Linked DNA regions of Struthio camelus. The protein of the gene in region 2 interacts with the protein of the main gene of each other region in a biochemical or structural test. Links are inferred from orthologs where the notes say so. Each region holds a gene or a part of one and is shown on either strand. Other genes may lie near its edges.

Evidence for each region.
Region 1: the proteins of ADRB2 (region 2) and GRK2 form a complex in vitro, tested with the Homo sapiens proteins (2 studies listed by BioGRID, with this or other methods). The link is inferred for Struthio camelus from reciprocal best matches to the Homo sapiens genes ADRB2 and GRK2.

What each region holds. Positions count from the first base shown.
Region 1 is NC_090946.1:3,108,241-3,115,975, forward strand, and holds the start of GRK2 (beta-adrenergic receptor kinase 1), read left to right. Parts: upstream 1-4,672; 5' UTR 4,673-4,718; coding exon 4,719-4,831; intron 4,832-7,604; coding exon 7,605-7,681; intron 7,682-7,735. UniProt on the Homo sapiens protein: Specifically phosphorylates the agonist-occupied form of the beta-adrenergic and closely related receptors, probably inducing a desensitization of them. Key regulator of LPAR1 signaling.
Region 2 is NC_090954.1:7,879,288-7,886,496, reverse strand, and holds the start of ADRB2 (beta-2 adrenergic receptor), read left to right. Parts: upstream 1-4,174; 5' UTR 4,175-4,201; coding exon 4,202-5,378; intron 5,379-7,209. UniProt on the Homo sapiens protein: Beta-adrenergic receptors mediate the catecholamine-induced activation of adenylate cyclase through the action of G proteins. The beta-2-adrenergic receptor binds epinephrine with an approximately 30-fold greater affinity than it does norepinephrine.

The sequences.
Region 1 (7,735 bases), on a different chromosome or scaffold from region 2:
TGGCTCCTGTGAAAAACAGCCGAAAAATCAAAGTTTTGGTGTTTTTTTTGTTTTTATTTTTTGTTTTTGTTTTTTCTTTTCTTTTTTTTCTCCTTTGGATTGATTTTGAGTTTCACGACAAGAAAGAAGAAAGGTTGGGGCAAAACTTAGCGGGAGCTGGGAGGGCAGCTGGCTTGGGGGCCTGGGCCAGCCCTGGGGCTTCCCAGGCTGGGCGGGCGTTGGGCTTCCTCCGCCAGGAAAGCGAGCGTCTCTATTTACACGCGCATTCGGGGCCGAGCGAAAGCAGCCCCCCACTCTGGGGCAGCACGGGGAGGCAGACGAGGCGAGCTGAGCCGGGGAGGGGCAGGGTGCCCGGGGCAGCCATCCCCCCCCACCCCCCCCTTTGGGGCTTCAGAGACTCGAAATCAAGGTGCGACCCTTGTCACCTAACTGGCCACCCCAGCCCCCTTGGTGGGCGAGGGGTGAAAATTCACAAGGAAAGAAGAAGATAAAAAAGAATTATATATATATAAAAATCACTTAGTGATTTAAAAACAACCCAGACTGCTCCCTAAAGACAACTCCTGCAACAGAAGTCACTATTGTTTAAGGGTTTGGTTGTGTTTTTGTTTCGTTTCGATTCCCCCCCTCCCTCCCCCCCGGAGAAATATTGTAAATATATATTTTTTGTTGGCGATTTAGAGTCCATCTCTGATGTTTGTGCTTTAAAATTAAATGTAAGCATTAAGGGTAAAAGCAAACCAAGTCTTACGCTCTCTCAGTCGGTATGGTTTGGGTTGGGGGGTTTCTTGTCTGAGGGCAGAGGGAGGGGAGCTAGTTGGCTTTTTTTTGTTTTATTTTTCTTTTTTCTTTTTTAAGCATTCTCCGATACTGGTTTTAGAGAGGATCTTTGCTCATAACAGATTACCACAGGGATGGAAGAGATGTTGGGGGGGGAGGGGAGGGAAGATACCAGCCTCTGAAGGGAAATATTTTGTTTCTTGGGGGTGGATTTTTGGAATAAAAATTTAAAGAAAAAAAAATAACCCTGCGTCTCGGTTCTGCCCGTTGTTTGTCTGCGAGTCAGAGGGGAGCGGAGAGGCCGAGGCCTGGGCTGGGCTGGGCTGAGAGGCCGCAGCTTCTGCGGCCGCCCGGCCCTGGGGCTTCCTCTGCCGCGCCGAGCTGGGTGGAGAGGAAGCGCGGGGCTTAGTCACACGCCCGGGCTCCCGTGCGGGAACCCGACGGCGGCGGCGGGGAACGGTCCCCTGCGGCCGCTCGCCCCCCGCCCTGGCGGCGGGTCGAGCCGCGTCCTGGTGCTGCATGCGGCCGCGAGCACCCGCTCGCGTTTGCTTGGCAGCTGGGGCTGGCCCTGCCAGCGCCTTGCACCACAGCTGGCACAGCTCTGTAACCGGCCCTGCTTGGAGCAGGGGTTTATCCCGAAACGCACGGTCAAACTGGCAAAGCAAAGGCACTTCCTGCCTTCCCGGCTGCCGACGGTGCCCCCATTCGACTGCTGGGGACGTCCCGGACCAGCTTGCGGGCTGGAAGAGCTCGCGCTGCGACTGCACCGTAGCGGGATGCCCCCTTGCCTTTGCCTCGGGTTTCTCTTGCTGCTGCTGTCTCCCGTCACCCTTCAAACCCTTTCGAGCCTGCTTTGGGGGCAGCTGGGTCGTTCCCCTCCTTTTTGATATACAAAGGCATTTTGCTTCCACGCGTCGTTTCAAACCGAGGCACGTAAAACGCTGCTGGAGGCAGCCCGGCTGCTCCTCCCGCACAACCGGGGGGTCTCCTCTCGGGCTCAAACCACCAGCCCCAACTTGCCCATTTGGCTATGATACGTATTGTAGCCGATCCTCAGCGCGCCAGCGCCGCCCCGACCTCCTCCGGGGACCCTCCTCCTGCCCGGGGGTCTCGTCCTTCTCCAGAAAAGCATCCTGTTGGAGGGAGCCGGCGTGCCTCCGCGCCCAATTCCCGAGGCTAGCAACCTTCGGGGAGCGCCGAATCCACGGCGCTTGAATCCCGCCTCTCTCGGTCCTCGCCTTCGCGGAGCTGAGGGTCCGGTGGGCGACTCTGCCCCATCTCCAGCAGTTTCCACCGCCGCAGCCCTCCCGGGAGCAGCCCACCCGCCGGGGCGGCCGCGCTGCCGCTGCCAGGTTTGCCTCAGGCCGGCTAAAAGGAAGCGAAACCTCCTCCAGCGTCATTGCTCCCGCCTGCGTGGCTGCGCCCAGGCTTTCGCCTTTGCCGCCCCTCGCGCTGCCCGGGCCTGCGAGGTGGCCTGGCACCTCTGGCCCTCCCCACGCGCCAAACTCCCTAGAAATGAGCTTGTCACAAGGGGTTTTGGGGTTTTGTTTTGTTTTTTTAATTCCCACCCCTCAGCTGGGCTCGGTTTAAAAGCTGGGAGGAAGCCGGGAGCGGAGCTGGAGCAGGGCGGCCCCGCCGGCGGCACAGGTCGTGCAGGGCGGCTGTCTCGGTGTCACACGTGCTGTCACATACACACACGCACGCACACTCACCCCTGTGTGTCTCTCACCACTCTCCCGGTCTCTCTCACGCACCCCCACACACCTGCACACACCCCTGCTGTCACTCTCACACACACACACCACACACATGGCATCTCACTCACACTTGGTGTCTCTCGCACACACACACGCACACACTCAAGTGTCACGCACACACTCACATGGTGTCACACACAGAGACACACACAGTGTGTGAGTTGTGTCACACAAACTCACTCTCTCACACACAAACCCCCACACCCCTGGTGTCTCACAAACACACACAAACACACACGGCGTCTCTCACACACACTCACACGGTGTCTCAAACACACACACCCTTGGAGTAACACACACACACATTCACACACATACACACGGTGTCTCACACACACACACTATCTCACACACCTGGTCTCTCACACACACATTGACACACTCACACACCCCTGCTGTCATGCACACACACTCTCTTACACACACACACACACACTCATGCACGCTCTCTTACACACACACACTCACATACACACACACACTCTCTCTCACACTCTCAGTCTCACACTCACATACACACACTCTCTCACACACTCTCTCACAGTCTCACACTCACACATACTCTCTCACACACTCACACATACTCTCACACACACACTCACACATACTCTCACACACACATTCTCTTGCACTCTCACACACACACACTCACACATACTCTCACACACACGCACTCTCACACTCACACTCTCACACACACTCTTTCACACTCACACACCCTCACACTCTCACACTCACATGCACACTCACACTCTCACACACACACTCACACACACTCAGTCTCACTCACACACATACTCTCACACACATACTCTCACACACACTCACACAAACTCTCACACACACACACAGTCTCACACACACACACTCACACACTCACACTCTCACACACACACTCTCACACACACACACTCACTCTCTCTCACACACTCTCACAGTCTCACACTCACACATACTATCTCACACACTCACACACACTGTCTCACACACACTCTCGCACTCACACTCTCACACTCACACTCTCTCACACACTCACACTCACACATACTCTCTCACACACAGTCTCACACACACACTCTCACACACACACACCCACACACACTCACATACACACTCTCTCTCACACACTCTCACAGTCTCACACTCACACACATACTCTCACACAGTCTCACACACTCACAAACTCTCACACACACACTCACACATACTCTCTCACACTCACAGTCTCACACACACATTCTCTTGCACTCTAACACACACACACACATACTCTCACACACTCTCACACACACTCTCACTCACACACACTCTCACACACACTTTCACACTCACACACCCTCACACACACTCTTTCACACTCACACGCACACTCACACTCTCTCACACTCACACTCTCTCACACACACTCACACTCACACACTCTCACACTCACACTCTCTCACACACACTCACTCTCACACTCTCTCACACTCACACTCTCTCACACTCACACTCTCACACACACTCACACTCTCACACACACAGTCTCACACACACATTCTCTCACACTCTCACACACACACACTCACACGCACACTCACACACTCACACTCTCTCACTCTCACACACACTCACACACTCTCACACTCAAACTCTCTCACACACACTCAGTCTCACACACACATTCTCTCGCACTCTCACACACGCACACTCACACGCACACTCACACGCACACTCACACGCACACGCGCCCCCGCTGTCCGTCCCCCCCCGCCCCCCCGCTCCCTCCCGCGGTCCCGGGCGGCGGCGGCGGCGGAAGGCGGCGGAAGGCGGAAGGCGGAAGGCGGCGGCGGCGGGGCAGGGCCGCCCCGGGCCCCGCCTGCCGCCCGCGCCGCCGCACCGGCACCCGGCCCGCCGGCGCGCTCACGCACCGCGCTCGCGCTCACTCACACTCGCTCGCGCTCACTCACACTCACACTCGCGCTCGCAGCCGCCCGCCCCGCCATGGCCCCGCGCCGCTGAGGGCCGCCCAGGGCCGCCGCCGCCGCCGCCGGGGGCCTCGCCGCTGAGGGCCGCGCCGCCCCGCCGCCCCGGGCCGCCCCCCGCCCGCCGCCAGGGCCGGGCCGAGCCGGGCCGGGCCAGGCCGCCCGCGGGGCCGGGCCGGGTCGGCGGCGGCGGCGGCGGGGCGGGGGCCGCGGCAAGATGGCGGACCTGGAGGCGGTGCTGGCCGACGTGAGCTACCTGATGGCCATGGAGAAGAGCAAGGCCACGCCGGCCGCCCGCGCCAGCAAGAAGATCCTGCTGCCCGAGCCCAGGTGAGGCCACCGGGCCCGGCGCGGCCGGGGCGCCCCACGCGCGTCCGAGCAGGGCGGGCAGGTGCCAGCGGGGCCCGGGCGCCGGCCTGCCCTGGCGCGGGCAAGCGGGGCTGGTGGGCAGGCGCGCCCCGGCCTGTGCAAGTGCAGCTGCGTGTGCAAGAGTGCCCTGGCGTGTGCAGGCAGGGCTGGTGGGCAAGAGTGCCCTGGTGCGTGCAAGAGTGCCCTGGCGTGTGCAGGCAGTTCTGGTGGGCAAGAGTGCCCTGGTGCGTGCAAGAGTGCCCTGGCGTGTGCAGGCAGGGCTGGCCTGCAAGAGTGCCCTGGTGTGTGCAGGCAGGGCTGGTGGGCAAGCGTGCCCTGGTGCGCACAAGAGTGCCCTGGCATGTGCAAGCAGGGCTGGCCTGCAAGAGTGCCCTGGTGCACGCAAGAGTGCCCTGGCGTGTGCAATCAGGACTGGTGGGCAAGCAGGGCTGGTGGGCAAGTGTGCCCCGGCCTGTGCAAGCGCAGCTGGCGTGTGCAAGTGTCCTGGCGTGCCCAGGCAGGGCTGGCTTGCAAGCGTGCCCTGGTGTGTGCAAGAGTGCCCTGGTGCGTGTAAGCTGGCCTGGCCTGTAAGCGTGCTCTGGTGCATGCACGCGTGCCCTAGTGCATGCACGCGTGCCCTGGTGTATGCAAGCAGAGCTGGCCTGCAACTGTGGCCCTGGTGTGTGTAAGGTGACCTGGCCTGCAAGCGTGCCCTGGTGCATGCAAGCAGGGCTGGCCTGCACAAGTGCGGCCCAGCGCAGAAGGCGTGTGGCATGGGCAAGCGGGGCTGGCCCAAGCAGACAGTGCACAGTGTGCACAAGCAGGGCCTGGCACGTGCAAGTGTGGCACAGGGTGTGCAGGCAGCATGCCACCCCTGCAAGCGCAGCCTGTGCAGGCAGGGCCTGGCGCATGCAAGCAGGCTGCAGCGTGTGCAAGTGTGGCGCAGCGCGTGCAAGCATGGCCTGGCACATGCAAGCAGAGCCCAGCGCGCGGGGACAGTATGCACCAGGGCAGCAAGGCACACACGAGTGTGGCAGAGCACACGCTGGCATTGTGCAAGCAGGGCTCCTCATGCGAGGGTGTCACAGCATGTGCAAGGGTGTCCTGGTGTGTGCGAGCTCAGTGCGGCATGTGCAAGCCTGAGCTTGGCGCGGTACGTGCGAGCGGGGCCCAGCGCCGGTGGGGCGAGGGAGACGGGGCGCGGGGCGCCGGTCTGCGCTGCCGCAGCCTGTCTGGCCCCCAGACTTTCCTGCTCCTGCAGTTCCCCTTTCTGTCCTCGCCGTGCACGGGCACGGCTGCACCGTCCGCGCGCCCGCACAGGCGCGCATGCTGGCACACCTCTCTGGTACACATCTTCTGGGTACACACCTCTCCTGTGCACACACAGACGCACCTCTCCGGTATGCATCCTTCCGGGTACACACCTCTCCTGCGCACACACAGACACACCTCTCTGGTACGCATCCTCCCAGGCACGCACATGTGTACACACACAGGTGCAGCTGGGGGCACGCACATGCGTGTGCTCACACCTGTGCTCCCACACAAGCACCACCTGAGCACACCTGCACGCGTGTAAGCACACCCACGCTCACACCTTCTGCACACGTGCACACACCCTGCCTCCTTCCGGGCACATCCACATAAGCACACTCACCTCTTGCACACAAAAACACATGTGCATGTGCATGTGCAATGTCACTCAGCCGTGCATGCGTGTGCATGCCCCTCTTGCTCATACACCCAAACACACTGTCCCAACACACGTGTCCCTGGCCAGACATGCAAACTGCAGCGCCTGGACGCACGCATACAGTCCTGGAGCCTTGCATCTCCTGAACAAGCATGTACTTGTGCACATGCACACACACGTGCACACCTGTGCAGAGTGCACCAGGGCTGGGCTGCACACACATGCATGCACATACACACTTGCACACACACACACACAGAGTGCACAGCCGGTGCACGTGCAGACTCACACGTTGGTTCTGCTGAAACACTTCCCCAGCCCCCTGTCCTTCACACGCACGCAGAGTTGTGATGCTCTCTGCTGTGCACACCGCCCCCGCACGCGTGTCGATCTCACACACACACACACCCCACTTCTGCCCACACAACCCGCTTTGCAACTTCCCTTCTCACGCCCGGCCTGCCCAGGCACCGGCGCCCAGCCGGGCAGGCGCACACAGCCATGCACAGCCTGGCGCGCGCCACATGCACGGCCCGGCCGGCAGCAAAGCCCAGCGTGCGGGGCGTCGGGCGCACGCATCCCGCGCAGCACAGTGCACAGCCTGCTGTGCGTGGCAGCCCAATGTCCCAGCCCGCCACGCTCCCGCTGCTGGGCCCCGCTTTCCCTCCGGCGTTCGCAGACCCGGGTGTCCTGGGCCGACCGTGGCGCCCGTGCCTGGCGTTCAGCTCCCACCCTGCAGCCCTGCCTGCCTCAGTTTCCCTGGGGAGGTGGAGGGGGCCTCTGCTGGGCCCTCGGATGCCTGGGCCCCTCTTCCCTGGCCCTCCCTGCGTGGGGCACCCTGTGGCTACCCCTTACCAAGGCCCAGCAGGGTGTCATGGCGGGGACAGAACAGGGGTCAGGTGCACCGGGGTCCCTGGGGACAAGCGTGCAGGTGGGGTGGCCGGCGAGGGGATGTATCCTGCCCCTGGAGCCGTGGGAGATGCCCTGGGGGGACGGGGGCACGGGAGACGCAGCAGGGGCCTGGGGTGGGGGCAGGACTGAGCCCATCTGGCGTCTCCCCAGCATCCGCAGCGTCATGCAGAAGTACCTGGAGGACCGGGGGGAGGTGACCTTCGACAAGATCTTTGCGCAGAAGATCGGTGAGCTGGGGGGCCCAGGGGGCTTGGGGGGGGGGCAGCTCAGCATCCACCTGG
Region 2 (7,209 bases):
CAAATGTCACCCAGCAAGGAGGGAGCACACATCCAATTATGAAAGGAGAAAAGATTAGCGTGATGACAAAGCAGCGGGGTCAGTGGCAGCAATGTGCTGCATGAGACAAATGAGATGTGCCTTGTTTTGACACCCTCCAAGCCAGAGGACCAGAAGGAGGCATTCTGGAGTAAGCAGAGTCCTTGCACTTCAGGCAACCAATATAGGAAATGCAAACTTAACTCTTTTCCTAACCTTTCTTTGGAGATTTGGTATTACGTTTGTTTAAATAAGAAACCTCAAACATACTTCAAAGCTAATAACCACTCCAAAGCACAGATATGGGCATGAAAATCTCAAAAGCAATACAGTTGAGTTGTGGGTGATGAAATTTATTTTTATGTGGGGCCAAATCCTGCCTTTATTTTGAACCTGTGTTCACTAGTCCCATTTGATGTGGACCATGCAAAGCCAAGCGCAGAAATCAGCTTGTGCCAATGGTCTACCCTGACACACCTCATGTAAGTGAGCAAAGATTAGTCAAGCAAGTAAAGAGCTGCAGAACCTAGGAAGAAAAATCAGCCTTTCTCTACTTCCTTCACCACACCCTTAACCACTACAGAGGCTCAAGACTCTTTGAATAAAGCACAACAAAGGCACAATATTTAGATAGCAGCTGGGCTTGCTGATTTCTGCACCCTGGGCCACAGAGATTTCCAGAGTCTGGAAGCAGGTTCTGGAGAAGGATATAGGAATGCTACCAGGGAGCATGGGTTTCTCCATGTACCAGATGCCCTTGTTGAACCGCTTGTGCCAAAGCAGAGAGATCAGCTTTGACTGTCCCAGAGTTGGTGTTTCCTACTGAATTCTCAAACCTGCTTCTCCTCCTTTCAAAACAGTGCTTCGTGCAAGGATGAATATTTGCTTGTCTGTTAGGAAGCCAAATCTTTTTAAAACTCTTTGGTTTACTGTTTGAATATTCCCAGATTTTAGCATAATCCACAGAAAACAGCACACTCACCAGGTTATTAGCAGAAACTTATCATGATCACCTTCTGGAGTTTTCTGATCAGCTCTTAAGAAAGAAGATGGAAAAGTGGGTTGAATATAATGTATAGTTAACACAAGTGCTTTTCCTTCCCCATTCTGCTCTGCTCTCCCAATATTGCATCTGATTTGTAGCTCCACTTCCCCAGCAGTTACTTGCAATATTTCTACTGCAAGGTGAATGCTTCTGGCCACTGGGCAGAGGGGGTGTGGGGGTACCTATGTGCACAGGAGCCAGAGATACTGCACCAAGCAAGTGCTAAAGGAGCTTATATTTATGTAGGGATCAGATCCTTAGCTGGCATAAAGTTAGTGAAGACCAATGGAGAGCAAATGACTTATGTCAGGGGGTTGCAGTTGTACCTATTGATTCAGATGTATATAAAGTATAGCCCTGTTTAGCTCAACAGTGGTCAGTTGAAACTCCTCATTTAGCTAAGGGCATTATTGTTTCTTAAGGTCATTAATGTTTCCTAGTCTTCCACTCACCCAAATCCCCCTGGTTTCCAAAGGCTTGGCATGTTTGCAGTAGAAAGAGGTATCCTGCAGATCTCTTTTTCATGTGTCTTTTTGTTAAAAACTCCAAAGCTTGCAGATGCCAAAGTGGAATATGGAAGCAGTACTGGAAGCTCATACTTAGAAAGATCCTTGCCTAGAGAGAAATCTCATACCACTGAAACTGCCTTTCATCTTATTTCCTGGTGCTGTCACCTCATTTTCCCCTCTGTTTTAAACTACAAAACTTCCTCTGTGTACAACCTGCTCTTCTCTATAAATAGCCCTAGGCTTAGCTCACGCAGTCCATGCATGACATGGGACACCTAGTGGTTTGCAGGGCCAGACCAGACAAGGTGTCTGGCTCTTCTGCCATGTGCTGGCACGGGCAAGAGAAACAGCAACTGCAGGCAGCTCCCCTCTGCAAGCCGTGCCTTGCACTTAGCACTTTTGCATTTCCTTGTAGTGAGAAAGAAAAATGAGGCAGAATTCTGAAGCCCTGTCAAATTCTGATGGTTGATGTGTTTCAAATGAGATCCAAAATTATTCACCCTTTAATAGCTAAAGAAGGTTAGGCAGGAGTCCTCCACCATCAAGCCTGTTATTAATAAAGGCAATGTTTGCATTTCTGGATCCTGAAGTGGCAGTGGGGGACAGTCCTATGTGCACAAGCCTGGGGTGACTCGTAAACATCTGCTTCTGGAAGGCACAAAGACAATGCGGGGTACCTAAGGAGGCACTGAGATGCAGTTACTTTTGGTACAGCTGGTGGCCAGAAGGCACGTGGGTAAATTTGGGCAAAAGCAACTCTTTGTATTCTCCCTTTCTCTGACATGGGATAATTTTAATTACTGTGCAAATCACAGCCTTCAGGCTCCACTATCATCTCCAGCAGACCCCTGGGCACTGCAGGAAGCATTACGTATGTCTGCAAGGGGGCAGCACGAGGCCAGATGGTTTCTGCACAGGCAGAAATGAAACTCAAGTGGTGGAGTTATCTCCCTTTAGGTTAAAAGGGACTTTGCAGGATTCCTTAGTCCTTATTTAGCAAATTTGTTTGCTTTGGAGGGAAATACTTGTGACTGATAGTCTCCAGCATGTCTGGCGGTAGTGTGGCAGACTGCAGTGTGCAGCAGTTGTGTGGCCTTCCAGCCCCCGACCAGCATGCTTGGCCCTGTCAGGGGATGCGCTCCGTGTGCTCAACCACCACCACAATTTTAGGGGCTGGGCTGCACCTCGAGCACCCAGTACACAGTCCCACCAGCCAGCTTCCAGGTGCCTGCCCCAGCCATGGGCTGTGGAGTGGCCAGCTCCCCGCAGGAATGGTGCTGGGCTGGGGGCTGGGAGGGATGGAGACCGTGGGTGACACCCTGTCTCAAAGTGTTGCCTGTGAGGACAGGCGCTCCCCAGGGTCACCCAGCTCTCAGGAAAGTCCAAATCCCAGCACCCAACCAGACACAAAGTCTCTCTGAGAGCAGCAGCAGATATACTGTGGTGGGGAGTGAGTGGGGGATGGGGGCACATGGAACGTGGTGGGTTGAGGACACATGTGGGAAGGGGTTCAGGGACACCATAGGGCAAGGAGCACGTGTGGATCACAGGGACACTGCAGAGCAGGATTGTGCATGGGGTGCAGGGACAGCGCAGGGCAGGGAGCATGTGTGGGGCACGTGGACACCATGATGTGGGGCAGAGATGTGCGTGGGGTGTGGGAGTGTGGGGACACCGCAGGTCAGGGGCACGTGTGGAGCGTGAGAACAACGTAGGGCGGGGAGCATGCATGGGGCATATGGACACTGGAGGCCAGGGAGCATGCATGGAGTGGGGGGACATGTGTGGGGCAGGTGACACCATGGGATGGGGTGATGCGTGGGGCAGAGGGGCATGCTTAGGGTGGTAGTGTACATGGGGAGGGGGGTGTGAAAACCCTGTAAAGCGGGGAGTGCATGAGTTGTGCGGGCACCATGGAATGGGGGCGCATGCGTGGCGGGGGGACACCACAGGCTGGGGAGCCCTCGGTCATGGGGACACCATGAGGCAGGAATGTGCGTGGGGCACGGGGACACTTTGGGGCAGGGAGCGCTTGGTTGTGGGGACACCGCGGGTAGGGGATGTGCATGGGGCGTGGGGCCACTGCAGGGCGGGGAGTGTGCGTGGGAGTGCAGGGACACCTTGGGGCATGGCACTCAGTCGCGGGGCCACCACGGGGTGCAGATGCGCGTGGGGCGCCGAGCCACGGCGGGGCGGGGACGCGCGTGGGGCACGGGGGCACTGCGGGGCGGGGAGCGTGCGTGGGGCGCGGGGACACCGCCGAGGGGGGACGCGCGTGGGGCGCGGGGACACCGCCGGGGGGGGGGGGAAGAGGCGCGGCGGCCGCCGCCATTGGCTGTCGCTGTCCTGATGTCACGGCGGGGTGTTGCTATAAGCTCCGCGGCGCCTAACGGGCTGGGGGCAGTCGGGGCCGGGCGCGGCGCCGCCGCGGGACGGGACGGGACGGGCGAGAGCGGAGCGGAGCGGAGCGGAGCGGAGCGCGCCCAGCCGCGCAGCCCGGTGCCCCTGCCCGCGTCCAGCCCGCCCGCACCTGCCGCGCCGTATGCGCGGCGCCCGGCGCAGCGCCGCCGCGACGCAGCCCTAGGCGCGGGCGCCTCGCCGAGCCCCGCGGGCGGCGGCGCGGGGGGCCATGGGGGCGGTGGGCGCCGCGCTGCCCGGCGGCAACGCCAGCGCCAACCAGAGCGCCGCCGCCGACCCCACGCTGTCGCGGGACGTGTGGATGGTGGGCATGGGGATCCTCATGTCCGTGATCGTGCTGGCCATCGTCTTCGGCAACGTGCTGGTGATCACCGCCATCGCCCGGTTCCAGCGCCTGCAGACCGTCACTAACTACTTCATCACCTCGCTGGCCTGCGCCGACCTGGTGATGGGTCTGGCCGTGGTGCCCTTCGGGGCCAGCCACATCATCATGGAGATGTGGAATTTCGGGAACTTCTGGTGTGAGTTCTGGACTTCTCTGGATGTGCTCTGTGTCACAGCCAGCATCGAGACCCTCTGTGTCATCGCCGTGGACCGGTACTTCGCCATCACCTCTCCCTTCAAGTACCAGAGCCTGCTGACCAAGAGCAAGGCACGCGTGGTCATCCTGGTGGTGTGGGTAGTCTCTGCCCTCACCTCCTTCTTGCCCATCCAGATGCATTGGTACCGGGCAGAGCGTGAGGAAGCCATTCTGTGCTACAAGGAGGACACATGCTGCGACTTCTTCACCAACCAGGCTTACGCCATTGCCTCCTCCATCATCTCTTTCTACCTGCCACTCGTGGTCATGGTCTTCGTGTATGCCAGGGTCTTCCTGGTGGCCAAGAAGCAGCTGCAGAAGATAGACAAGAGCGAGGGGAGGTTTCACATCCAGAACAAGGAGCAGGAGCAGAACGGGCGAACTGGGCACCGCCGTTCCTCCAAGTTCTACTTGAAGGAGCACAAGGCCCTCAAGACCCTGGGCATCATCATGGGCACCTTCACACTGTGTTGGCTGCCCTTCTTTATCGTCAACATTGTGCACGTCATCCAGGACGACATCATACCCAAGTACGTGTACATTCTCTTGAACTGGCTGGGCTATGTCAATTCTGCCTTCAACCCTTTGATCTACTGCCGGAGCCCGGACTTCAGGTATGCCTTCCAGGAGCTCCTGTGCCTCCGCAGGTCTGCCCTGAAGATGTATGCCAATGGGTACTCCAACAGCAACGGCAGGAGTGACTACAATGAGGAGGAGAACAGCTATCCCCTGGCATCGGATAAAACCTGTGAGTTGCTCTGTGAAGAAGGCTCCTTCCCTAACCCAGAGGACTTTTTGCACTGCAAAGGTACTGTGCCTAGTGGGTAGCTTTGAGACGTGATGGGCTCTGGTGTGGCACACCTTGGTTACAAAAATGAGCCTTTCTCTCTCTCTCTCCCTCTCTGTCTCTAAGGAAAAACAACCCCCCCCCCAAGAAAAATAATGATCCACTTTTAAAATGTATCTAAAATCTGGTGGCTGCAAGAAATCTAAAACTCAGCAAACCTTGTGCGAACAGGTGGAAGGTTGCTCTGGGAATGGTCGGGCGGGCTAGTTGTTTGCAGAGTGTCAGAAGTACTGTAGCACATACTTGTGTAGAGGCGCAATCTTCATTCGTTGAGTGGGGAGGTTTTAAGGCTGTGCAGAAAGCTCAACCCAGGAGGAACTTCTTGACTGTGGTGGCTGTTGAACTACCTCATGGACTTAGTGTTAATAACCAGGCTGCTGGTGCAGGAAACCCTCTGCAGGGCGGACAGGAGCCCCTGCCTGTGGGGAGGCTCCTGCCGGCTGCGGGTGCCCTCTGCCCACCCCAGTGATTGCACTTCATGGCAAACCCCAGGTGATGTTGCCTACCTTAAAGTCTTCCCAGTTCCTTTGTCACAACCAAGCCTCCCAGCAGACTGGTGGCCCGTAGGACCCCTCCTCGGCCAGTTATGCAGCCTTGGGCAGTAGCCTCTGTTGTCCAGCCCAGGAAACTGTGCAGAGATGCCACCCTATGAACAAGCTCCTAAAAGGGATGCTAGGACCAGGGCTGCATGGTCTGAGCACGGCTCGGAAAGGCCATGTCAGATCTGCAGCTATTGCTCTCACTGGGACAGTTTAAACAACGCCCAGAAACAACGAATGCTTTTTGCCAAGTGCTGTAGGACGTTCATCTGAAATAAGAATAGAAATAAATGGACTATTTGCCCAGAATGTGAGACTGTGACGGTGGGACTCAGGAACATGGTACTGGAAAGTTGGGTGAAATGCTGCTAAAATCACGGACCATCCTTTTGTTCAAACTCTGGCCAAAGCTTCCTCCAACCTTTAAACTGTTGAATTCCTTTAACTTCAGGTCCCAAGTGACAGGGAACCCGAGGAGGCGGGAGGGGAGGGGATTTTTTATTTTGTTTCAAAGAGGACTGACACTCGGAGGGGCACAGCTCTAGCCCCGGTTTGTTTGTTTGTGAAGGGCTTTTTTTTCCCCCTCCTTGCGGCAGGCTTTGCATTTTGTTCCCGGGTTACAAAACTTGGCTGCGAGTTCCCCGGGCTGTCAGAGGGGAAGCTAATCCGCAGACACGGGCAGGCAGGTGCGGGCTGGACGAGCGGGGACGGCAAAGGGCGCCTGCACTGCTGCCCAGTTATTCTCAGAAAGTCCCTGGTTGGAGGAAACCGGCAGTCGGGCTGGGAAAATAAAAGTGTCCCCGTTGCCTTCCCCCTCAGCTGCTGTTTGAAAGGGTGAACGCAAGGGCTGGGAGGATGTAGAAGCGCTGTGTCTTTTCAGAAACGGGGAGATGCAGGGGAGAAATGGGCTCGCAGGAGCTGTCACCTGGCCGTGGGGCTGTGGTGCCCCGTGGAAGGATGCTTGGCATCACCTTCATGGGCTCTCGCCTCCTCCCCAGAGAATTCAAGCACCTGCCCTGCGCTGCCGTCGCTTTTCTGACACTGGCGACGCGCTGTGATGGGTCCCTGGTGCGTGGCGGTCAGTGGGTCCCTGGCAGAGCAGGAGTGCGGAGGGGGGAATGTGAAGGCACTGGGGCGACTGGCTGGCGTTGCAGGCGTCCCTGTGCCAAGACCCCGGCCGAGCCAAGCCCCCTCTGAGCCATGTCCTCGGACGCTGGTCCCCACTGCTGCAGGTAGCAGAGGGGGCTTGGGGC